2 linked regions of the Oreochromis niloticus genome follow. The protein of the gene in region 1 purifies or fractionates together with the protein of each later gene. This does not show direct contact. Links are inferred from orthologs where the notes say so. Each region holds a gene or a part of one and is shown on either strand. Other genes may lie near its edges. The genes, in order: esyt1a and atl3.

Region 1 (10,388 bases):
TGAGTTGTTCTGCTCATTATTCCATCTTATTTATCGAGGGTCTGATCCCAGAGAGTTGGGACACGAGCCACTGGCCATGCTGGAGGATCAGGATTAAGTTATGCCCACATGTTTGATAGATCTTGGGTTTGGTTCACAGTAGTTGCATAGAAAAGTCGAGGGAACAATTTAATCACATTTGATTTTGATGGATCGAGTATACAAGCTGAATATCTTTACTGGTATAGTGTAATTTGTTTAGAAAATCTTTAACCCTTTGAGGGTTTCAAAGTCATTCCTGCATCATAATGATGCTCAGTAGTGTGTGTGGCCCCATGTGCCTGTGTGCACTCTGTTAACACCGAGACATGCTCCACTTGAGACAGCAGATGGTGTCCTGGGCCTTATATCCTAGACTTGGATCTGAATATGTGATCTTCCAGTGAGTTTGTCATCCAAGAACTGTGCCTCTGTTCATGTGAGGCTGGGTTTTACCCTATACCAGGAGGCTTACTGCGACTGGAGCAACAGAAGTCTGGCTTTGGTATAGGTTAGCATGTGTAGGTTTGTGCGACCATCCAAAGATACCTTTTCACTCTATCACCCTCTGACCCTCTACCAAACTGGTCATGCTGAATGATGTTGCAGGCAGACTCTTTCATGCCTGTCACACATGCTCAGTGTTTCATATGTGAAGTGAACGGGCATTATTGGTGGACCTGCCAGTTCTGGTGACTCCATAGTGCTGGGGTGTGGTCACAGGACCCCCATGCCTCTTCATGGAGTATACACACACTACCGGTCAAAAGAACACCCCACCCTCCAGTTATTTATTGCAATTCAAGTCGTTCAAGTCCGGTGATAGCTTAAAATGGTACAAAGGTAAGTGGTGAACTGCCAGAGGTTAAAAAAGGGTAATGTTACCCGAAATTGAAAATGTACATTTCAGAATTATACAAAAAGGCCTTTTTCAGGTAATGCAAAATGGGATAACAATTTAAAGCTGTTCTGCAGCAATGGAGGTTGATCAAGCCTTGAAAGCTGATGCTACTAATTCCTGCAGGGGTTCCAACTTTCCTGGATTACTTACAAAACCCCCTCTGCATAAAACTCTGTGAGCATCAGTTGAACAGTATTGTACTGCTGAAATTAGTGTGTTGCTACAGAAATGGTGAGGAAAAAGGCAATTAACAATGGAAGAGCGACAGACCATCATAACACTTAAAAATGTAGGTCTTTCCTGCAGAGAAATTGCAAAGAAAGTAAAGGTGTGCGTGAGTACAGTTTCCTTTACCATCAAAAGCCACTCAGAAACTGGGGCAAACTGACAGAGGAAGAGGTCTGGCAAACCCCAAACCCCAAATGAATCAGAGGACAAGTTTCTGAGAGTTAACAGCTTGCGTCATTGGCATCTTATCGAGCTGATTTGGGATGAACTGAACACATTTATGGGAGCTTTTGCGGGCGTGTTCAGCTGTTATATCTGCCAAAGGTGGCTACTTTGATGAGTCAAACGTTTAGAATACACTTTGGTCTATAAATTGATTCCATGATATCGTTTCTCACTCCAGTTGCTTATTTGTGCTATGCTTTAATTTCAGAGTGCAATGAGACATTAAACTCCATAATTTTCTACTAAAAAATGGAAAAATTGGGGTGTCCTAAAACTTTTGACCGGTGTAAATAGCCACTGGAGGTCATTTTGAAGGGATCTGGCAGTACACCTGTTCCTCCATGTACAAAGGAGCAGATACAGATCCATCTATATTGATCTATCTACAGGAGAAAGATCAAACCTTCCTGTGACAGCACATAAAAATCAAAAATCCTCAAGAATGAGATCTCCATACTGGATCAACCAAAGCAAGGTTTTCCAATGATGCCTACCAGTGCAATAAACTAGCAGGTTGTAGGTGGAAAATATGCTACTGTTGGGAAAGACTGAGGAGAAAAGGGGGAAGGTACGTTCAGTGGCAAAGTTTAAATGTAGGAATATCGTGGACGGGTGCAGAGGTGGGAGTGAGTCTATTATAAGTAAGATTTGATGCGATCTCTCGCACATGCGCGCTGTGTAAGTATTATTTAAAAATAAATGGTCCAATAACCCACTAATTTTATGATCCTTGCCACCTTGAAAACTCAATTTCCCATGTTTCGCTGGCGTCCATTGATAATGACGTAGGAGGCCATATAAATGGGACGTCTCAACGTTATGACGTCCTTCGTGGAGACGATTCCGTAGCGATCGGTGAGTGGGAATCGTTGGTGTAAGAATCCAAGTTAATCGTCTTAATATTAAGTCAATCGAACGTATCCGTAACATTTTCTTTCTGTTTGCAGCATTCCCACGTCGACATGAGAGCTAAGGTTGGTGTTTTGTGTCTCTGTCATGAGATAAATACAGTTTCCAGCGGGGCTACATTTGTTAGCTAGTCAGCAAGCTTGTGCAGTTTGACGGGCTAGCACAGCCATCAGAATTTAAAGTCATTCTTAAACAGATGTTGGCAGCTGCAGTCCATAATGAAATATTTTTGCCAATTTCTATAAAAGTGTTACTAATTGAACATTGTCTCTTTTCCGTAGTGGCGAAAGAAGCGCATGCGCAGGTAAGAGTCCGTTTTTATAGCCGTACAGTAATCCCTTTTGCATTCACACCCTTTTAAAATTTTTATTTTTTTATAACACCTGAAGTGTGACTGAACTTTGTGACGACTTCTGTACAGGCTGAAGCGCAAAAGGAGAAAGATGAGGCAGAGGTCCAAGTGAACTGTGCTCTCCGCCATGGCTGTGACGTCACATGCCGCCGACAACAACAACGGGACCGGTGAGCACAGCTGGAGACCCAGGACCCTCCCAAGTCAAGTCTGAGACCTGGAGCATCCACTTCTACCAGAGGCAGCAGCTGCTGGCTCACGCTTGGAGCTGTGATCGAACATCTGCTGGACGACGGCTTTTCCTCTGGGACATTCTGAACTCTTTGTTCTCAACTCCTCAGCTTTTGTCATATGTTTTTGTTTATACTGTGATTAAAGGTTTTGGTTAAAAAAGAAGACTTGAATAATGTTCTTTCTTTATATTTAAGCAATCTTTTCAAAGGGTCTCGAACTAAGTCAGTAAACCTACAAACTGCACCGACTGATCAACCTGTAGTACTCGAGTACAGTATGGCAAGCCATCTTAATACAAGATCACCGCCTTACTAATGTTTCATACTTTGGAGCATTGCTTGTGCATTTTAGGGTTTGGGACCGGCTTAAGGGTGGGAATGAAGTGTGTTAGGTTCACATCTACCCCCCTTTTATATAGACATTTTCCTTATTAGATTTTGCCAAATAGAAACCTTCAAACTGTGAGAACATTTTCTAAAGAAAAAAATTGAGCTTGTAGCTAAAATCCAGCCTAAACTTAACCATATGAGAATGTTGGGGGTTAAGATAATATAGGTAAAAAGAAGTCTTATATAGAAAGTGGTGGGATTTTTCTAGTGCTTGGGCAAATTTATGGAAAATTAAAATTTCTTTGTAAAGTTGTGTAAATGTACATTAAATATGTCTGTGTCATCACTCTTTAAAACCTGAGGATCCTGTATATATGTACTGTCTATGAATGACAAGACAGCTGATCTACCATGGATATTTGAATTTTATCTCCTCTAATTAATTTTCATGAGTAAGACTGACAAAAATAAGTCCCATTCAGTTAGATATTAACATCCTCACTTAGCGGTTGTAAAGCTATGACATACGAGAGGTGGCGCTCAGAATGCTGAATGGAAATGTATGGAAGATTTTGCAACAGCAAAGATGGGGATAGAAGTACAACTCAGAGGGGGGAAAGTTTTTTAAAACCTTTTTTAAGCAAAATAGATTTTAAACAAAAACTCTGAAGGGCTTTTTAAAAGATGTGACACGTGTTTCTGTACATGCAATTTTTACCCGGTGGCCACTGAAATACGTGCCTGGGGTTGTTTCAAGATGAATAGGCCGTGCTTCTAGAATGACTTCTCAGTTTTGCAGTTCAGATCATGTGGCAGGTGCATATCTAGGGACCTGACTTGCTTACAGACAGGCCTGTAATGCAAAGCTACAGATAATTAAAATAGAAAGTAAATCATTTTAGATGCTGTCCATAAACCATGATTTAAGTGGGTGTGTGAATGTTTTAACCTTTGGACAAAGCTGACTCAAAGGACAAACTTGTGAAATATGTCTGTAATGTTTTTACCCTTGAAGCCGGTCCACTAATTCATTCTCTCCTTGGCTACAAGGTGACGTATAATGAGGCCATTGCTGGAGAACGCAAAGGACAATAGTGTGTAGTAAATGTAACTGGAGAAGCACTCACTGCTTACAGTCCTGATCACAAAATTGTAGGGAGGTAAAGCTCTTTCCCCCAATAAAGACGAGATTTGACGACCATATTGATGAGCTTTGTTCTGAGTTTGTCCAGAGGTAGCCCCAGTAGCTGTATAAGCACTCTCACTTCTGATGCACACTCACTCATTTTGTTTGTAACAGATCTAAAATATGACAGAAACCACTCGGCTCATAATAGAGAATCAAGGTTTGCCCCCAGGAGGAGGAAAGAACTGAAGACATGGCAGTGAAATGAACATATTTAGTGAGGTTGTGGGAAGAGAACATGCAGTTTTCATTCTTTTAACAACTAAATCAAGAAGATAAGACATGTATGTGCAGTATCCTCATTAAAGATTCCTAAAATATTTCTTGACCAATCCACAAATTATTATTAAAGATAATGACCTTAAAAAATAAACGGCATCTTCTGTAATTGTGAAATTTCCTGTATAGGGGAAAATATTGATTACACAAGCTTGAATATTACTTGAACAACAACATGCAACATGTCTGCTCTCACGCTGGTAGGTAAACCAACGTTGATAAGTACTTGGCAAAGCCAGACAGACGATCAGATGACATGTGTGCTTTAACTTTGACACTTCTTGCATTTCTCTGCCCACATCATTTCCTCACAGATCACTCATCACCCTGTGACCACTATTTCTGCTTCTGCTGTAGAGCTACAGAGCACTTTTTGGTTTTTTATCTTAGGTTATGAGATGCAATCAAGCACTTGTTTTCTTTAATGTGTTTGGTTCCTTTTTGTGGGGACGACTTGAGGACATTTTGATGATTTTTACATTCAGCTGTGAACATAAGAAACACTGTTTGAAACAAATAACATAGTTCACGGATGGCTCAAATATACTGTTAATGGCTGTTTCACTTTGTGATTGACTGCGTTTAGATCAGCAAATTCACGTATACATTTCACTTAGCGGTACATTTTAATACACTGTATATAATAAGTAAATAAACAGGCCTAAAACATGAAATAAACACTCCTAAATACACATGGAGAAAAGAATGTTGTATGTGTTCGTTGAACATTGCTCTATTATTCCAGAGTATGCAATGCACGCTGCTCTATATTCAACACTAGAGTTGAGCAATTAAAAAAAAAGAAGTCTGGAACTATTTTGCACTTTGACACTCTGAATTTGTGTTTTGTGTTTAGAAAAATAAAAATCTTTGGGGGGGAGGAGGCAAATAGGGTCTAAATATCAAGCTATAACATGCCAAAATCGAATGTAAGCGATAAAGATGGGTTTGTGGTTTGTGGCGGTTATAAGAACAGAAATTGTGGCTCTAATAAAACCCTTCAAATTCTGAGAATAACAAGCTTCATAAAACATGATCTCCGCATTTCGTGGGCTCTCACAGTGAAATTTTGTTACTTTATAGGACTTGGCTGTTTATTGACAGTGTGTTCTTCCTGTCTATGTACACAAAGGATCATCAAACCCGTATCCCTCCAAGCAAATACTGATAACTGCCTGTATCCAAGGCAACAGGGGGGTATTTAAAACCTGGCCTGTTTTTCTAGCCATAAATGAAGCTATTAAGAAAAAAAGGGAGTGGGAGTGGAAAGACACATGACATGACAAATTCACCATTAGTTGTTATTATTATTATTTGTTTGTTTTTAACAGGTGCGTAATTATTACGCCAGAGTCAGATGGCGCAGATCCCGGAGGTGTCACGACTGTGCCTACTGGACCCAATCTTGTAAAAAAAACAAAAAACAAAAAAACAACACCTGCAGCTGATACAGACCTGTCGATAAAGGAACTGAGCACATGTTTATCAGTTGTTGGTGCCTTCATGATCATCTGTTAAAGCTGCTGCTGCATACTGCAGTGGGGATGGGCGCTTGCGCGAACAGGAGGATTTATTTCGGTCATGCAAAGAAAGATAACGGGGTGAGCAGCCTGTGCATTAGACGTACTACTCTGCTCTGGTTGTAGTGTGTCGTTTGGATAAACTGCTACTGTGAATCAAAAGTGTTCCGTGGTGTCTTTCTACATGATAAACATTCGTTCGCTTATCGGTAATACGCTCCGCCTGAGCAGTGTATGACGCTACAAGTAAATTCTAGGGTATGGGTTTCTACTGGATGTGAAGGAGGGCTTGAAGCCAAGCCCGCCCTCTCGAGACTTACTTCGTGCTTGCACTGCCTTCTCAGGAGCTTTACACGTAAATGCAAGACGAATAACCCTCAGTGCCCTGCGGAACTGCGCGGTGCACGTCGAAGAAAAGTGACAATGAAGTGACAGTCCGACGCTCGCCGATTATCGCCGACCTGTCCATGGTTATCGCGGTGAAACGGCAGTGAGTTGACCCCTATCCCTTGCCACTCAAGAAGAAGAAGCCGAAAAGCTGAAGACCAGATCGAGCTAGTGAAGTCTGATCTTGCCATGCCAACCGCGGATGCAGAGCCGAGCATCGGCACGGAGCCTCTAGCCCCGGTCTCAGAGAACCAACCCCAGGGTGAACGCGCAGTGAGTGTGCTGTGGTCGTTTGGGAAATGCCTGGGTGCTCTGCTACCAGTGTACCTGGCCGGATATTATGGCTTCAGCGTCACCATTGTTCTGTTCGGTCTGGTGATCTACATGGGATGGAAACACGGGCGACAAGGGAAAGTGATGAGGCTCAAGTCTGCCATGTACCTCCTGGAGAACGAGAAGGAATTCACCACTCAAACGGTTTTCAGAGCCAAAAGAGATTTGCCTCCCTGGGTGAGTACTGACACCCCTTCTGTTATGGTCATTCTCTGCGGAGTGCATCACACGCCACATCTGCCACAAATGTCAGGCTGATACTTGTGGCAATATTATTCATTTTTATAGTTCTTCAAGTGAAAACACAAAGTCAGGTCGACTTTTACTTCACGGCACTCTCACGAATAGAAGCGATAGTTGATAATGTTGATATGCGCATTAGTCTGAACTGCTGCCTTCTCACAGAATGTGAACTAACATGTCATGATGATGACTTTGTAGTAGAAAGGTGGAAGCCTGGCAGTGAGCTTTAGAGGAACTTGTGAAACAGCAATCTGTGATTCTAGTGAACAAGTCATTTCATCCAGTGGTATGAGAAATTATCCGAGGGCTTTCCTCTTCCCGTTTCACTACTGTTGACCTTATCTGGCTCCTAAAAAACCTGATGAGTCATAAACAACATTCACAGCAGAAGCAAAGACCACCATATCTGGAAAGAGAGCCGGAGGGTGTGTGTGTGTGTGTCTGTGTGTGTGTGTCTGTGTGTGTGTCTGTGTGTGTGTCCTTGTGATGTTAAATGTGCATCATGCGGTTTATGGTTTCCTGAAATATTTTTAGTGACAATATTAGTGTTACTTGTTTTTCATCTCTTTTAGCGTTAACATAAATGTATATACTTTTAGTAGAAATAAGATGACGTAACAAATAAGTGCATTGAGATTAAACTCTTTTTTTTAATCAATTTATGTTCAAATAAAAAAGTAAACAAAAACAATAATATTTTATTTACACTATTGTTCACAGGTCAACTTTCCAGATGTGGAAAAAGTTGAGTGGGTCAATAAGGTATGTTTTTTTTATTTCCTGCATAACTTTGCATGTGTGCAATGGTATAGATTTCTATGAGAAATTCATATTTTTTGAAACATCTGGTTCAGCATGCAACTCTTTGCATAATTTCTTCATTTGATGTCTTAGCAAAGCAAAGGAAGCTGCAAAAAGCCCAAACTGAAGATAAGGCGTTCACGATTCACTTGATTAACTTGTATATTAGCTTCAGTGTCTCCAATTTAATATTAAGATAAAGAGCGCTTGTGTGGACTTTAAGGGACCCGGCTCCAGTTGCAGGCTCTCCATCAGTGCAGATAATCTGCTGGTGTGATTAAGAGGCAGTGAGAGTGGCCGGGATCATATCGCAGCTTCTTTGTCTCTGTCAGTGCAGCAGCTTCACGTAGGCACAGAGAAAGCGTGGATGTGAATACTAATAATACAAAACACCCATTTGGAGGGGGAAAAAATACAATGAACTCGATGACAGAAGCCCAGACTGTGGGATAGCAATTTGCTGGACTCATCTGTCACCCTGCCCACGTCTCGCCTGCAGGTTTCCTGACACATGACCTAGCACCTCACTTCCAGCTGTAAACAAGTCGAGGGAGCCTCAAAATGTTCTCACCTTTTGTTGCATGTGTGAACTTTTAAAAAGTATTGCATGTGCATATGAAAAACAACGTACGGGGTTGCACTGTTATAAGCATGTGCATGAGTGTAACATAAATAATGCACAGGTGAGCTGCAAAATGTTAGTAATGACTAGTGACAGTGTAGTCACAGTGTAGAGGTCAGAGGATTGGTAAACTGTAGCTAAAAGGATTTGGCACCACTGCTGCACTTCTCTCACTGAAATGCTGAAGATAACACCAGTGTGATGCTCTGTGGACTGATAAGACTGGTGAAAGTAAGGCATCACACAGACTCCCTGTAAATATATTAAATTCAATTTACTGCACTAAGGTTTTAGTCTACAGAACAATAATTTATGAATTATTTCCTTAACACTTGGGTGGCTCTCAATAAGCAAGTCCTGGATGTAAATACTTGGAGTTTGCATGTTCTCCCCATGTCTGCACGGGTTCTCTCTCTCTCTAGTCTACCTCTTGTCCCATGACAGCTGGAATAGACTTTTTTCTCATTTTTTACTTCCATCAATTTTCTTTGAAATTATTTTATGAACAGACAAACCAAACCAATTACATAACCTCTCTGACAGAGTTAATAAAATTAGAATGCAACCCATATCCTCACTTGAACTTGTTACATTGATATGGATTGCATTCTAATCTGATTAACAAGGAGGTTGTGCAATTGGTGTGGTTTGTCTGTTTGTTAGCAGAGGTGGAGCTCGATTAAATGTAGATGTGATCTCGATCTAGAAATGTGTTTTCATAATTGGAAATTTTGCATAATGTCTACATAAATACATATCGGACAGAAATGTGAAGAAATGTAAAAATGGGAAACATTGTTTGATGTCTTGTTAGGAAAATATAAAATAATCTTAATCTTGACGTCCTTCTCTGTATGCAATCTTCAATTAGTGTGTGGTATGAAGGGAGCTTTGTTTTCCTCAGTGGAGGTGTGCAGTCTCATACTGCTCTTGTAGAGGTAGCTTCTCTTTTCCTTATTCAAACATAAAAACCTTACCAGTGGCCATATGTTGTGTTCTACAGATCCTGCAGCAGGCTTGGCCCTTTATTGGCCAGTATCTGGAGAAGTTACTTGTGGAAATCGTTGCTCCTGCCATCCGTACTTCTAGCATTCATCTGCAGACTCTGAGCTTCACCAAGGTTAACATAGGCGACAAGGTATCTGAGCGGCCTGTCACACACACCCACACACACAGCAATTTCAGTTTATTACAGTTGACTTTTTCTGCTAATGTGGTGTCATCAAGTCTCTGTCAGTCTTGTTTGCTTAATAGCAGCTGCTGTGTTCACAGGCGCTGAAGGTGGCTGGCGTAAAGGCTCATACGGAAAATGATAAGAGACAAGTTATGTTGGATTTGTACTTAAGGTAATCCAACACATCAGAGATTAATTTCATATGTTATACCTCTGTCTATCTGCCCAAATAGGTTGGTCAAGTCAAACTCTAAAATGTTCTTGTAAGTGTTCTAAAGCTTCCTGCAAGGGCTTGGCCCTGTCTTGAACAACAGAACAGTGTTTACTTAATACAGAAAGAAAACAGCTCTGTCATAACTCACACAAGCTGTTTCCTTTGTTTAAACACTTATCTTTAGATCTGTCGCTTCCCTTCTGTTACAGCTATGCCGGTGATGTTGAGATCAATGTTGAAATCAAAAAGTACTTTTGCAAAGCTGGAGTAAAAGGAGTCCAGGTACGAGAAGAATCACTGGGACATTCTCACATTGCTGCTGTAATTAAGTGGCCTGAAAACACATTTTCAGAATCTAATTTTCGCTTTGCAGCTCCACGGGATGCTGCGTGTGATCCTTGAGCCTCTGATTGGAAACGTACCGCTGGTTGGA
Region 2 (9,646 bases), on another chromosome or scaffold:
AGGGGATCTTTCACAGTAACCTGACCAAATATGGCGATGGTTGAGAAATTAGACATAAAAACATTTCTAAAACAGGTTTGAAATGCGTGTATTAATGAGTTACTGCATCTGAACCACCGTCCAACCTTGCTTTCATTCATTCAACTTTTATACTCATCTGTGATATGACTGAAATACTCTGACACCACACGCAGAAATGAGGAATGCAAGGAATCTAGAAACAAAACATGATTATACAGCTTACGGATGTCTGACCTCTAACCTTGAGGTCAAGGTCATCAAGGGTATAAAAGTCCATCTTAGAGAAGCAGAATTTCTTTAACGCAATTTTTTTTACATTAATAAAATGACAATAAGAAAGTCACCAGATTACCTGTTTTGACAGTTAGGGGGAAAAAAATCCTCCCAGAACAATTGCCTTCAGAAAAAGCAGCTAAAGACGCCTGTAGGCAGATGAACCGCTTGGTCTAAATTTAGAAGATTGCTTCTAAACTTTGCTGGAGGCTAACAGAAACCAGCTCATCTCTTTGTAGCAGTGACACTTGCAGCATGCAGGGATCTGTCCACTGCATTTATAAACCTTTGTTACTTAATCATCACTTTTTAATAATATAAAATACAAACCTACAAAATGTCGTTTATTCCTTTACAGCTAGAGTAATAAAGTAATAAGCACAGACTAAAGGTTAGAGGAAAGGCTGAGACCAGAAATTACTATGGCACTGAAAAACTAAAACAATGAATGAACATCAGCTCAATATTTCAATATGAATTCCATTAGTAAATCTGAGTGCTTACATGTTTACTCTCTTAAAACAAATAATCACACATAAATGTTAGAGTACCTCTTCACCATCGCTCTTTTGGACAAGGAAAACTTCGCTCCACAGCTGGATGCCTGATGTTTCTGGTTCTGACCCTCCTCTCCAAGAAAACCCGGTCAGAGGCTCGTTATCGTTACCCATCCATTTCTCCTCGTCCTAACACAGAAATGCAAACTTCACTTTTAAACCCCCATCACAGCAAAGCCGAGGCCTTCAGGTAAAGCTTCAGTGCTATTCACTCAGCCATACCCTGAATTATGAATGGAGATCCCAATTGTTTTGTATAATTTACATAACAAATAAGTACCCAGTGGAGTGTAAAGTGTTCAGTGACTGAAAGATGTCATAATAGTCATGTTGTGAGGCCAGATGGTGGCACTATGGTAAAAGTAATGAATAAAAGTAATGAAATTAAGAGAGGGCATTCACAGACTCTACTCCTTAGTGGTCATGGCAAAATTCTCATTTACTCCTAGTCAGTAAACTAGTTAGTTCACATGTTAGAGCAGGGAGGGGCACATCTGTCCTCATGCAATCCACACACCAGGACTAATTCTACAGGTTATCACACCTTTAGGACAAAAATCTATCTCTAGCACCCTGCTCTGAAGCTTAGCTTCACACAATGAGAGTCCAGCATCTGATACTGTAAGTGCACTTCAGCTGATCTCTGAAGTGCACTTTAGCTGATCTTACAGAGATATGATGATGAGACACGCTGAAGGATCAGGTTACAGCACGTCTCACCTGTCTGTGCATGTATCGAAGCATGAAGTCGAGCAGAAAGCTCTTCCCCTTCCTGAAGGCTCCGGCCACTGACACCACCACCACGCGTTTGTCTCGGACCTTGGGGTTCAGCAGGATCTGACTCAAAGCATTGAGCTCCAAGGTGAAAGAGTGATCGTCCTTACACACATTGACAATCTGAACTGGGCCTGGTTCGCTCCCCATTATTCTTGATGTTCTGGTCCCTGTGCGAGATCACAAACAAAGAAACACCAAAACAAAATCAACACTAATTATGAATTTTTATAATTGAATGTTTTTCTTTTTTTCTTGAAAAAAAGAAAAAACAAGCATATACTATGCCATTCTTGAACAGTAAATCAGAGCAAAACTCATGAAGCAACAGATGAAATTCACCTACTAACACACTGCCACATGCAATATGGCACGATATACTCCAATATGTTGGGCAATAGATTGGTGCATCTTAGCTGAACATTATTATATAGCAACAATCATACTACTTGGAACATTAAATTGTTCTTAGTATTTCAGAAACTGCTGATGTACTCTGATTTTCCCACATAACCATCTGTAGGGTTTGCAGAAGATGATTTGAAAGATCTTCTGAAAAAGAGAAACTATTCAGTAAGCAGCAATGTGCTTGGTGAAGCTGGAGCAGAAAAACAAGACTGTCTGGAAATGACAGGAAGACATCAGTAATAAGCATTTGTTACGACAAAGGTATGCAGAAGAGCATCTATAAATTTGTCTTGTCGTCCTGCCATCACCCCAACCGGTTGCGGCAGATAAATAGGAAACAGGGGCTACAATTCACACTGGCTCAAGAATCTTGCCGGGGCTGATGATGAGTCTCAATTTCTGCAGCAAAATTTGGATGGAAGGATCAGAATTTGGCATAAACACCAATAAAGCACAGATCCATTATGATTTGAATTAACAGTTCTAGCTGGTGGCAGTGATGTAATGTTGTGGGGGATATCTTCTTGGCATAGTCTGCCCTCCTTAGGGCCAGCTGAGCACTGCTTAAATGCCACAGCCTTCCTGAGTGTTGTTGCTGACCATGCCCATCCCTTTATGACCACAGTGTATGCATCTTCTGATGGCCACCTCCAGCAGGATGATGCAGCATGTCACAATGCTCAAATAATCTCAAAGAAGTTTTCTGAATATGACAATGAGTCCATTATATTCAAATATTTGGCCTCCACACCATATTGAAGCCAACAGAGCACCTTTAGGATGAATCAGGAGATTCGCATTATGGCAGCGGACAAATCTGCAGTAACCGTGTGGTGCCATCATGTCAACATGGACCAAAATCTCTGAGGAATGTTTCGAGCATCTTGATATGCCACGAAGATTTAAGACAGCTCTGGGACCAAAAAGAAGGTCCAACTCAGTAATAAAGTGGTCAGTGAGGGTAGTAATAAACTGATTTTTATATTCTGGGCCTCTGTATGTTTTTGGTTTGTTTTTTAATCTTCTCCTTTTTGCCAGGAAAGTGGTTCAGTTGTCTTTACAAATAAATAATACCTAAACTGCATTAAAGCCTTTCAGCTCTTTGTTGCACTCGTTTTGTAGATTTTGCCCACAAAAACCTGATGTACTGAGTTACAAAATCAGCCAACATATTTGTGCAATGCTGATACAATCCTATGACATTTGTGCTAACAAACTAGAGAAGCTAACGAGAAAATATCGCCTATGTCTGCCTATCACCAGAGAAGAAATCATTCAAAAATTTGTTCAAGTTGGTCACAAGAAAACTATTAGGAAAGCTTCATTCATCATTAGCTGAATGTATGATGACAACAGACATCTCCAGCTTCACTAAGACTTCACTTATGCTTCCTGGGCTTGCTGACAGAAATCAGGCGTGCACTGGTCCCTCCATCAGGGACAATATCAGGCTCTGTGTGAAGCTGACGGAGGGCTCCTCTTATGGGTGTCACGCTGCTTTGCCTGAAGCATGCTTTCCCTGCTACCCCTGATGGTTTCAATACACTCCACTGTCGCTGATTTTGCAGGGTGGATGTCTTTTCCCGCGATGAGTAAGACAGGGAGGTGTCTGGATACAAGCTTATAATACCCAGAAAGCTGCCTGCTTTCGGTTAATGCTCACTACCTCAAAGGTGTGGCGGTGAGGAGCAGCATACCAACCATTTCTCTGCAGTGACTGTGTTCATAAGCCTTGATGCTACCAAGCAGAAAAAAATATGCATTTCAGACCAAATCTGCTTGCACTTTGCAATCTAAAAACGAGATAAACTAAGTGTACGAGACTGATCTGTTATGAAGCTACATGACATTAGCACTGAACTGACAGCTCTGCGAAGAGCACAGCTAACCCGAACTGTACTGACATCGACCTGAACTTCTCCGAAAAGCTAAATAACAAACTACAGCTCACAGTCACTGAGCTAACGTACAAGTTAACGGATGCAGCTAAATTCTTGTGTGGCTACAAGCTTTCAAACACCAGCAAAACGCTGACATACGTTACCGTTGTTAGCTAAAAAAAAGTGTTAAAACATCTAAAACTAGCTTTTAAAAACGCTTCTGCGCTCTTTAGCTCCTGTTTAGTGATTTAATGTTACCTTTGGTGTCTCCAAACAGCTTCGGCACAGTCTTCTGAGAGTCGCCAAACCAGAGAAACGTAACTTTTTACACTGGCATGAAAATAACCATTAGAACTTTTTTCCATCAACAAACTTCCACACACTTCCTGCCTCCAGCCTGCGAAATGCCACAAGGGAAATGTAGTTTTACAACAGGTTTCTCTGCCGGCGCTCCAGTATCTCTATGAACTACACGTCCCAACTAGCCAAATGTCTAACAGCTCTGGGAAATGTAGTTTTTACCGTCAAGTTACGAATACGGAACTACCAGACAGGTAATGTAAAACAGTCCCGGGTGTTTTGCGTTTATACAAATAATAGCCTAAGGATTTGCGCAGAGGAAACTGAACAGACACAGCAGGTTTGCAAAAGGGCTTTGTTTTGTTTTGTTTGGGTTGTTTTTCATTGTCACATATGTGTGTCTGCGTTAAGTAAGCCGTGGCTGTTGCGCCCTCTCCCGGTGCAGCCAATCACTGTCTATAAAGCCACCAGGTAAAACTCATCACACAGAGACACCCAAACATATCCAGCAGCATTTTAAAGCAAACCTGAAGCCGATAGACTCAGAAAATTAACATTTAAAGCTAACAAGATTATTATTTTTAAACAAACAGTCAAACTAACTAGAGAAGAAACAAAAAACAACCACAATGACATACAGATGGAAACGTTCCTTCCTCGTACCTGTAGTTACTTTGTTTTTTACTTGCCAAGCAGCCTACTGATTTATAATCACATTTGTATTTACTGGGCTCTTTTATTTTATTTCTCCTTTTTATTCTATTTATGGATTTTTTTTTAGCTATAAACCCATAACCCATTTGGGCTTTAAACAATGTAAAATGTGGACTAATAGACCCTTTATGTTATAATTTTCAGTTAAAAACAAATATTAAACCTTAAAGAAATTCGATTTGTACAGTTCAGGCATCAAAAGTGTTTCAGTCGTGGATGCTTGGTGCATCTCACTAATATCCCAGAACCTAAAAAAGTAGACAATTTAATTAGCATACTTCATTACTAAATACTTATTCAGTTTCCAATAAAACCTCATTTATATCAATTTAAGAAAATTTGGAATTCTACCTTTTCAAGAGTCACAACTCTTTGCTCAAATACAATCTTTTATATAATAATTCAAACTATTACAAAGGCAATAGTGGTAGTATTAGTGTTTTCTCAGGAAAAAAACTGATGGGATGTAATGGACTGAAAGTCAAGGATAAACGTAGTTTTTAAAAATTAAGGAACCTTTCATTTGTCCTCTTCTGGTAAATTGGGTAACACGGTTGCATTAGTTACAGTGACACATTCTATATAATCAGAAAAGTCAAGAAAAATGCAAATATGTCAAAGAGAACTGACCTTTGGTCTACCCATGATGTTCATGCCACTTCCTCTTTACCATGCCAGCTCACTGTTTTATCTCTTCCATTTCTAGGCTACATAAGTTTCGGTCACAGGATGGCACATATGTTGTGAGACATAACTTGCAGTTCATAATTACTGTTCTTTAAAATATGTTGATCTTGAAGATAGCTAAATAATTGTAAGCGTAAACAAAATATTGAAACAGTTATATACGACATGTAATTTGGTTATCAAGAAGTTGGGCCAAAAGATAAATGTCCTTTTTTGAGGAGTTGAAATAATATTTTGGAACAACTTTTTCAACAACTGGGTCCGCATTTTGTCTCAGGTGCACACAACAAATGTATGTTTAGTATTTTGTGCATGGACTATTTTCAAATTCATGGCTGGAAAAGAAAATGTCCCATAATTGTAGAATAGTTCTTAAGCTATTTTGGGGCAAGTGCCTGATGGTCAGGCGTTAGCCCACAGAGCTACATGTCCACCACTCACATGAAGACATGTAGGGGTCCAGTGCGGTATACAGAGGGACCGGTGCACATATTAAAACTGTGAATGCACTGGCTGCACAAAATGTTTTATTTGTCCTGTACAAATCTATTCTGAATTTCTTAAATCATAACTTTGACATTATCATTAAAAACTTATTTAACCAAATCAAACTAAACCAAACCAAGCAAACTCACTGAAGCGGAAAACAAACATTAAAAACAAAATAAAACCAAAACTATAACAACCGATGCACAGCTCAGAAGAACGGCATCACAGATTTTATTTATTAGATTACAAAACCCAAAACTGTTGTAAATACATACAATTTATGAAGAGAATTTCAGTGTAACCGACATGTAAAGTGGTTAAAATGGCAGTGAGTCAATCAAACTGTTCCTGATTGAAGACATCGTGCAAATAAAATAAACTCAAGCAAAGATAATCTTGAAAATAATGGACATTAAAAACCATTAGAAATAAAATTTGAAGTACTTATTATAACTGAGAAGTGCTTCCCTGTACTTCTTAAGTACAATCTAAAATCATAGCTACATTATAAATAATTTTTTTTATCTGTTTTCTTCAACTATCAAAGCAACAGTGTTGCTGAAAACAACAAAGACTGTCAACTACAGTTTACTTTGAATGTCCTACAGAAACTTTCTTAGAAAGAAAAGACGGTCACCGCTTAGAACAAGTGAAAGAGGGTAACACATATTCATATTTTACTGGTAACGATGTGGAAGTGAGTCAATGTGCTGTTCGCTGTACATTAAACGTGAACATTTCAACAGCGTGTTAGTCACCCCTGAAAATGGGAAACTTCTCAGTCGAGAAACAGCACTCTGTATTGAGCTTGAAGCACTCCTTCCACCCCTGAGAACGATGTTAACATGTTAGAAAATCACTGTGGAATCACTTAATTTTTAATACTTTTGTCTCAGTTCTACACCTTGAAGGCTCTGTTCAGGCTGGATGGGATGCTATGGTGATATATTCAGCTTGTGTACTGGAAGCCTGAAATTATGTGGAACGATACTCCATCAGTTAATTTGATCTATACTGTAACATCACTACAGGGCAGTAAACAGGCTATAGGGCAGTGTTGTCGTACCAGGAGGGTTTCTTTGAGGATCTGAACTAATATCCACCGCCTGCGAGGTCCAGCAGTGACCCGGCGGCCTCCTGGGCCTCGGCATCAAGCTGCAGGATCTCCACGGTCTCCAGGTCGAGCTCGGTGTCGTCCGGCAGCACAAGGTACTGGTACTGCTGAGACTCGTAATAGTGCAGCTCGATGTAACCGCTGTCAGACAGGGGGTCCTTCTCCATGTCTTCGCACACCTCCTCCTGCTGGTATTCCACAGACTCCATGGTGACGAGCTCCTCATGATCCGGGGTCAGAAGGCACAGCGGGTTTTCGGCTAAAATCGGACTATCGGCGGTGGACAGGAGGAGGGTGTGAGAAAGGGGATCTGCATGAGAAAGACAACATTAACATTAATAACCCATCTTCCTGCAGCTTGGCTGAACAACCACTTGTGGGATTCTTTAGCGAGGACGTGGGCCCGTGTGGCAAAGAGGCTTGGAAATAAAACGGAGGGGGTGGGGTGGGGGCACTCATAAAAAGCCAGGCTATTGCCGGGTTGCCAAGGTAATGGAAGGCAGTTTCCATGAGAACAGAACACAAACACAGGAACAATGATGCATGCTGGGAAAGCTGCAAAACTACAGACAAGCTGCAGGTGATAAAAGTGTCACAGAGGGCTGTTACTCCGCCGATAAAACGACTGAAACAATTTCATACCGGGTCCAGTATGTAGGTCCTGACCTGATATTTCCATCGAATCACACTCAGCAGGCATCTTGTAGCTTTCTCCCTCCAACCTGCGCACAACACACATCACAGCAAGAGAGACATTAAAATTATTTAGAAACACTCCTTCACTATTCACATATTAGATTTTACTGATGTGGTGGGTAAGCAGAGAAATATACTGTGTTAAAAGAAAAATAGCATGTAGGACGACAGCTATGGATGATATTTCATCCTACTTCTGCAATATATCAGTGAATATGTTTGCTTATTTTAAAAAAAAGGCAAAAGATAGTGAAGGAATACCCAAATATTCAGTTTAATAAAGTCAGCATTTTGCATCACCTTCAGTTGCAATGACGTGGAGACCAGAGGAGTTGAGAAAGGTTTAACCTGGGACCATCGTCACTCGAAGTCACTGAATGTCACTGACTTCTCTGGAAACCACATTGCTGCGAGTCACTTCCTGTGTGGAAGCCCCTTAATGTTTCACCAGCACCGCGTTAAAAACTTACTTAGAAAGGCAGCAAAACCTTAAGAGAGGTCGATGCCTGTAAATGTTTGCATATTTTTCTTTTTAAAACTGAAGATCCTTTACACATCAACTACCGTATTGTGCAAAAATATTGAGCCACCCTCAAATCTTTATTTTGCTTCCATGTAACCGAATTTACTGTAATTTTTAAAATTAGTCCTGTCCAATAGTTCCCTCAGCTTTCTGAACGTCTTTCAAAGTTTTTCTTCGGACGTTGGCTGCCTTTTCAGTCACTCACACTCCAGGTTTTGTACCTGACCATTTTCAGAAGAATTTTTACGTTGACCTATGAATCATTCAAGCCTTAAAAAGTACCCATATTTCCATGTATGTCTGCACATATTCCAATAAATCTCTGTCTCTATTTCCCCATTTTCAGAGTAAAATATAAAGAAAAGAGGGGTGACTCATTTCTTGTTGAACAATTTGGATTTTCTGGCCGTTCCTTAGCATGGGGCGCTAAAGCTAGTTTTTACAAATCCCTATTGCAGATACTCACAGTGCAGGCTTGTGTAACAGGTTGCTGTTGTTGCTGTGATAACTGTGGGTCTTCCTGAGCACTTCGAGGAGCGCTGGCCGGTACTCTGGACACACACACCACAGCGATCCCTTCCCCACTGACTGCAACAAACAAACAAATCCATGTAACAGATGCTAGTTTTCAAAAACACAGCACAAGTCATTTTCGGGAGTTGTAACCAATGTTTTGAATTCAGACCATCTGGATTCAATGAGGAGTTCACTCAGATCAATGAGTTTGGTGTTGTTCTGTTATTTAAGCACCCACCTGGCTCTTGTCTCTCTGAATGCGTCGGAAGCTCTTGCTCAGAGACAGATTGTGTCTGACAGAGTTCCTCCAGCCACCCGTTGCCGTCCTGTAGTAGGGGAAATTGTTCACAATCCATTCATAGATGTCCTTCACTGGAAGCCTCTTTTGTGGCGAATCTTCTATTGCCATGAAAATCAGACTGCTAAAGGAGTACGGCGGCTTGGACAAAGCAGCGGGAAGAAGCTGGGAAGCCATGGAGGGCTCCTGCTGAGGCAGCGGTGTCATTTTGGTGAGGGGCTGCAGTGGCAGCAGATTCCCTCTCTGATGCAGCCAGCTGAGACAGGTCAGGTCATCTTGGTCAGCTACGCTTTGTCCTTCGAGGCAATGAGACACTGTAAAGTGTGAAAGAGGGGAGCAGGAGTGAACAGACTCTGCTGTTGCTGGAGAAAATGAGGCTGGGGATGGCGGGAAAGA

Evidence for each region.
Region 2: the proteins of esyt1a (region 1) and atl3 purify together in Homo sapiens (affinity purification with mass spectrometry; 3 studies listed by BioGRID and IntAct, with this or other methods). This does not show direct contact. The link is inferred for Oreochromis niloticus from reciprocal best matches to the Homo sapiens genes ESYT1 and ATL3.

What each region holds. Positions count from the first base shown.
Region 1 is NC_031984.2:19,574,469-19,584,856, reverse strand, and holds the start of esyt1a (extended synaptotagmin-1), read left to right. Parts: upstream 1-6,127; 5' UTR 6,128-6,757; coding exon 6,758-7,078; intron 7,079-7,864; coding exon 7,865-7,906; intron 7,907-9,570; coding exon 9,571-9,705; intron 9,706-9,839; coding exon 9,840-9,913; intron 9,914-10,164; coding exon 10,165-10,237; intron 10,238-10,328; coding exon 10,329-10,388. UniProt on the Homo sapiens protein: Binds calcium (via the C2 domains) and translocates to sites of contact between the endoplasmic reticulum and the cell membrane in response to increased cytosolic calcium levels.
Region 2 is NC_031966.2:20,296,667-20,306,312, reverse strand, and holds the start of atl3 (atlastin-3), read right to left. Parts: upstream 4,333-9,646; 5' UTR 4,172-4,332; intron 1,796-4,171; 5' UTR 1,776-1,795; coding exon 1,572-1,775; intron 981-1,571; coding exon 846-980; intron 1-845. Other genes in the region: si:ch211-145o7.3 (forkhead box protein N2), read right to left, coding at 7,196-7,527, 7,860-7,939, 8,903-9,024, 9,191-9,646. UniProt on the Homo sapiens protein: Atlastin-3 (ATL3) is a membrane-anchored GTPase that mediates the GTP-dependent fusion of endoplasmic reticulum (ER) membranes, maintaining the continuous ER network. It facilitates the formation of three-way junctions where ER tubules intersect.